2 linked regions of the Mus musculus genome follow. The protein of the gene in region 2 interacts with the protein of the main gene of each other region in a biochemical or structural test. Links are inferred from orthologs where the notes say so. Each region holds a gene or a part of one and is shown on either strand. Other genes may lie near its edges.

The links. The genes of interacting proteins can lie anywhere in the genome.
Region 1: the proteins of Bcl2l1 (region 2) and Bmf interact in a test that uses a peptide from one of them, tested with the Homo sapiens proteins (2 studies listed by BioGRID). The link is inferred for Mus musculus from reciprocal best matches to the Homo sapiens genes BCL2L1 and BMF.

The regions. Positions count from the first base shown.
Region 1 is NC_000068.7:118,530,337-118,532,780, forward strand, and holds part of Bmf (bcl-2-modifying factor), read right to left. Parts: intron 2,324-2,444; coding exon 2,222-2,323; 3' UTR 1-2,221. UniProt on the Homo sapiens protein: May play a role in apoptosis. Isoform 1 seems to be the main initiator.
Region 2 is NC_000068.7:152,828,495-152,832,094, forward strand, and holds the start of Bcl2l1 (bcl-2-like protein 1), read right to left. Parts: upstream 2,224-3,600; 5' UTR 1,892-2,223; exon of another isoform or gene 1,693-1,891; intron 1,627-1,692; exon of another isoform or gene 1,609-1,626; 5' UTR 1,497-1,608; coding exon 933-1,496; exon of another isoform or gene 1-932. UniProt on the Homo sapiens protein: Potent inhibitor of cell death. Inhibits activation of caspases. Appears to regulate cell death by blocking the voltage-dependent anion channel (VDAC) by binding to it and preventing the release of the caspase activator, CYC1, from the mitochondrial membrane.

The DNA of each region.
Region 1 (2,444 bases), about 34 Mb from region 2:
GGATTCAGGTTAAAGATAAAAGAGGGTTTAAGTTTCACCCTGGCTTGCCTGAGTTAGTAAGTTTGGTCCCGGCTTGGCCCAAAATGGAGACAGTACATTCTGACCAGCTTCTGCCTGGTCCAGGCTCAATGTTCAGGTCAAACTCTGGGCTCAGTTCTCAGGCCACAGGGTACCCAGCCTGCACCTAGCAAGGTTGCTGAAGCTGACAGTCATGCCTTAGGACAGATGGAAAGTCTACTAAGTTATGTTAAAGATAACTGAAGTACAAGGTTCTGTATGGGGAGGGGCACGCATGTACCATCAAGCACATGTATTGCAGCACATGTACCAAGCACATACCAGAAGCCTGCCTGTCATAGCCTTGATCCAGGAAAGGGGAAGACCACATATGTCCCACACACATCTAAACTGCAGGGAGGGTGGGATGTAGGAAGGCTGGGCTTCACAAATAATCAAGCCCACCCTCAGAACCAGTCTTCATATTCATTACTTGGGTCCCCTCTCCTTGCAAACAGAAACCCACTTTCTTAGCAGACGAACTATGGTATAGACCCTGAGAAAAATGATTGTGGCCAAGAAGAGGTAATATCTCCAGGTCATCTGAGCAGAAAAACACAAAGGCTTATACACATGCCTTAAGGTCCTCCTCAGGACCACTGAGAGTGCACACAGTACCTTTGTGCAAATTAGGAAAGACATTCCTTACTCTGGGCAGACCCTGCCCACATCAGGATGTGCAGCCTAGAGAGCAGGGCACAGGCTGGACCTCAGCCTCTATGAGCCCCCTCTGTCGGTAGCCTTGGCAGGGAGAAACCTGCCCAACTGGACACCCAGGAGATCCGGTGCCCTTTTATGGTACTGAAATCCGCCCCCCCCCCCCACTTCTGCAGAATGGGGAGTCACTGGGCTTGTTCAATTTGAGTCTACTCTGAGTTTCTCCTCCAAAGTCCTTGAATAATCCTGTGTTCTTCTTTGTCTAGGGAAGCCATCTTTCTTTGAGCCTTGGCTCATCTTCATTATAGCACCAATGTCTTTCCTTACATACATAACACTTAGGACTTAATTTCTAAGATCAGCTGCTTTTCGTTCCCTCCCTGAGCACTGCAGCGGGGAGAGAAGGAAGGAGCTCCCAGGCAGCTAAGGTCCTGCTGGGTTCTAGAACTCTCCTTTCTGGCCTAGCTGAAAGCTAAAGGGAGATTCAAGATGTGTCAGCTCTGCAGTTTCCATGGTCTAAACATTGTCTGTTACTTCCAAAGTCACTTTTCAGCTGACAAAGCCTCAGTCCTAGCTTCTTCCTGTATCCCGCTAGGTACAGAAAAGGAATGGGGGTAAGGGGGAGGAGGTACACGTTTCCAAGGAAACCAAGAGGTCTAGGATTCCCCCGGGACCAACTTATCAGTGGGATGGCTGCTGGGTTCCCACGCCCCCAGCAAGCCCACCCCATCTCCAAGTGCTTCTGCTGAGATGGATGCAGACAGATCCAGTCCAGTCATTGGCAGGGTCTTCTGAAAACAGAGCTGACAAAGGCACAGGCCGCTGGGTACAACGGCATGGTGACTGGCTACTTGGCTCCAGCAAAGGTGGCAGTAGTTTGCACCCTTGGGGACCAATCAAGGGGCTTCCATGTAGGACCGAGTCAGACTTGAAGCCTCTCAAGTTTGATTCATTTTGTGGCACCTTTGAGGGGTTCTTGGAGAAGTCCGACCCTCCCTGAGGTCTTCCGGAAGTTGACAGCGTCTGAGTAAGAATCCCTGAGCCCATGCGGTGGGCGCTGGCTGTGCCAAGTGGGAACCCAGACGTGAATCGGGCTAGCCAAGGCACAGTTGATCTTAGCCAGGAGGCTCCCAGACAGGGTCCTGGTGGGTTAAAGCCATGATCCATCAGGCACGAAGGAAGGCTGACATGTTTGATGGTACTGGGAGCCTAACCTGACTTAACCAGCTCCGGTAGCAAGTCTCAGTCCACTTCCTGGAGAACATCACCAACTGGTCATCTTCAGAGCCTTAGGAACTCTACCAGCAGACACAGCTGCCTCTCCTTCAACAGTGTTTGACAAAGGCCCCCATCCTCAGTGGAGGTTCTGAACGGGGAAAGAAGATCCCACTGGGGCATGTAATATGTACACATGGATAGAAAGTTACGGATAACAAAACTTAACAAGACAGTATCTGTCCTCCCAGACTGCATTCCTGGTGATCCATCCGGCCAGGGCGGTCCAGCCTCACCAGGGCCCCACCCCTTCCCTGTTTTCTTGTCTGTTCAGGGCGAGGTTTTGAAGGAAAAGGAAGACCTGCCACCACGCACGGTCTCGGTTCTGCTGGTGCTGTAAGGAAAAGAGATGACCGTTAGGTGTCAGGCCACAGGCTCCTTACTGGGTCCCCAACAGGCTCCCACTGCCAGATCTCAGGCTGGCACCTTTGTGCCATCCAGCAAACTGGGGGACA
Region 2 (3,600 bases):
AAGCACTCATTGTGTCAGCCTCTGCTCTCTTTATCTTTGGGTCACAATAGTCTGTTAGAAACTAAGGCTCTAGAAGGTAAACCAGCCTGTCCAAGGTCACATGGCCAGTTAAGTGACAGGGCCAGGACTCACACCCACATACAGTCTGTCACCAAATCTTAATTTCCTATGGAGCCTCACAAACCAGGTTCTTGCTCTGCCAGCAAACAGTGCTTCAGTAAAGAGGCCCCAGGGCCCTGACCAGAAAAACACTGGGCAGAGCAGCTGGAGATCCCCAACCAATCCAGGGCAGCGAGGTGCAAAGTCCTGGGGCTTGATATGGCACAGGAAGGGCTCTACAAACAAGCCAACCATGCAGAAAGTTGCACACTTTGGGGAAAAAGAACTTAGGAGCACAGCACAAACACCATTGGCCCAGACCACCCTCCTCTAAAATCAGACAATACTCAGCCACTCTAGCCAGTGGGGGCTCCTGACTGGCCAAATGGTCTGAGTACCATGCATGCAAGTACACAGCAGCCTGAGGTTCCAGTTCTGCAGTTTCCTGGGTATTATGTTCATCACCCCAGCCAAGGTGACCCATTTCATGAGAGTGAGCAGAACGCGGGGAGAACTTGCTGCTCTCATAGGTTTTAAGCCAAGTAAACACATAGGCTGTTTTTCTTTGCTGAGAAATTGGAACAAAACTATGAAACTGTGGGGCCACAAGGGTAGCCAGGATGAAAGATACAGGTCCCTTAAAAATTGGGTCATCTATATTTCCAAAGTTAACCTCTTGTATTAAAATGAAGCCAGGAAGGTCTCCTGAACAATCGGTATCTTTAACAACCATGCCATATAACAGAAAGAGACCAAAAAGGGCAGTTTTAGGGATGTTCACAGAGAAGAGAGACACAAGCAAGGGGCGGACACACAAGGGGCGTGGTTCTTACCCAGCCGCCGTTCTCCTGGATCCAAGGCTCTAGGTGGTCATTCAGATAGGTGGCCATCCAACTTGCAATCCGACTCACCAATACCTGCATCTCCTTGTCTACGCTTTCCACGCACAGTGCCCCGCCAAAGGAGAAAAAGGCCACGATGCGACCCCAGTTTACTCCATCCCGAAAGAGTTCATTCACTACCTGCTCAAAGCTCTGATACGCGGTCCCTGGGGTTATGTGAAGCTGGGATGTTAGATCACTGAACGCTCTCCGGTACCGCAGTTCAAACTCATCGCCTGCCTCTCTCAGCGCTTGCTTCACTGCTGCCATGGGAATCACCTCCCGCGCATCCAAACTGCTGCTGTGGCCAGTGGCTCCATTCACGGCCGGGCTATCCGCCAGGTGCCAGGATGGGTTGCCATTGATGGCACTGGGGGTCTCCCTCTCTGCTTCAGTTTCTTCTGGGGCCTCAGTCCTATTCTCTTCGACATCACTAAACTGACTCCAGCTGTATCCTTTCTGGGAAAGCTTGTAGGAGAGAAAGTCGACCACCAGCTCCCGGTTGCTCTGAGACATTTTTATAATAGAGATGGGCTCAACCAGTCCATTGTCCAAAACACCTGCTCACTTACTGGGTCTGCTCTGTGTTTAGCGATTCTCTTCCAGGATCCAAAGCCAAGATAAGGTTCTGAAGAGAGAGAGAGAGCTTCAGGAGAAAAATTTAATATGCATGTCATTTACCTTACAATATTCCCATTCCTCCTCCAGGTACCAGAATTGCTTTCTTTGTGGCTCTTATGAAGGTCTGAGTCCGGGTTCTAAGGGACTTCAATGAAGTCAAATTGAAAGGACCAGCCAGCTTTGAATTGTTTCATCCGCCTCTTTTTACTACAACCACCCACCCCCTTTTCTCCGAAATGCCTTTCTCCAAAAGTCACCCCCATTGGCATATCCCCACCACCACCACCTACATTCAAATCTATCTCCGGCGACAGCAAGCAGGTACAACCCCCGGAAGGTCTTTTGTATCATAGGTCGGGGAGGAGGTGGTGGCTGGGTCGCCGGTAACTCAGCAAAAAAAAAAAAAAAAAAAAAAAACCAGCCCCGGCCGGAGGGATCATGCGACCTGGTAGGCAGCTCAGAAGGCGACAGAGGAATTGCGAAGCTTAGGAACCTGCCCCCTCACAACCTGGTTCCTCCATCGACCAGATCGAGGGCGGCCTCTCTCTGCTCCGCAGGCTCCAGCCACCCGGGAGCCCAACCCCCTCGCTCTAGCACGCCCCTTGGCTCTCCGCCTCCTACTGGGAGTCAGGAGAACTCTCCCGGAGGTATGGGTTTAGTGTAATTTCCCCCCACCCCTCCTTTCTTTCTTTCTATTTAAGTACCAGCCCTAGATGAGGCTTCCGAAACCCTAAAGGGACTTCCAAGTGAATCTCAAGGTTTCGCGCAGGGACGCGGACAGGGGGAAGACAGCCTCGGATCTGTGATCTGATTTCGGAAAGACCACTCCCGGGTTTTTCCGAGAGGCGTATGCTGGAGACCCCCCACAAACACCGCTAGTTGTCTTTGAATTCCCCAAAGGCCCTGGACACAGCACTGGGGGACGGCCAGGTCCTCCATTCCGCGCCCGGACACAATGGCCGCCGGCACCCCACGCACAAAGACGGGGTGAGAGAGAGGCACTGAGCCCCGCCACCGGCCAGGAAGAAGGGTCGGGGCTCCCACAGTGGAGACCTCGTTTTTCCTGAGGCCGAGCCCAAGGCGGCCTTCTGGAGCCCCCTGCAGGGCTCGAGGGCCGGAGGCCGCTCCGCGCCGGAGCCCCGGGTGGGTGGGCTGAGGCCTCGCTTACTGCTCGCGCTCCCCTAGGCCGGGTACCCGCCGAGCCACCGCCCCGTTGCTAGGCAACCGCCCTCCCTCAGGGGCGCCCCCTAGACCTCTCTGGAAGGAGGGGTCTCGCCCCCGCGGCCCGCCCCAGCTTAGCCAATCCGCGGGTCGAGTCGGCACGGAAGCGGGACGGCAAAGGCTCCCATTGGGCCCAGCGCCTGTCAGGCACAGGGGAGGCGGCGCTCTCACCTGCGAGCCCCAGAGAGCCGTGGGGGGCCACATCCCCCCTTCATAGGCCCAGTGGCTTCCAGACACTAGGGCGTTTTGCGGCTGGGAAGTATGCCGCGGACTTAAGCCTGCCTACCTGGCTGACTGCTCGTGCTGAATCTCCCGGAGAAGCCGGCCTCAGTTTCCCCTGAAGAGACCGGGGGAACTTGCAAGCGCAGCCACTTCCGGTGCCGCGGCAGCGCGCGCGAGCCCGAGACGCAAAAGGAGTGCGCGCCAGAAAGGGACTGGCATCGAGACATGGGAGAGCAGCGACCCCTGGCGAGCGATTTGAGGAGTCTCAGGCGCGTGGAACGTTTATGGTTCACATTCCTTCAATCTAGTTCCTTCATCCATCTGTCCCTTTGTATACTACAGAAAAAGTGCTTTTTCCTTTCGATGTCGGTGTCCAACATCGAACAGGTTTCTCAACTTGTGTATTTCCCCCCTCACTTTAAAAATAGACAGCAATATTGACCTTTCATTGACTGTGTATCAGGTACTACTTGAAAAGCCTGAAGAATAGAAAGCCCTTAGTTTGGTTTGTTGAAGACACAAGGCAAGGCAATGTCTCTGTTTTTATGAAGACTTA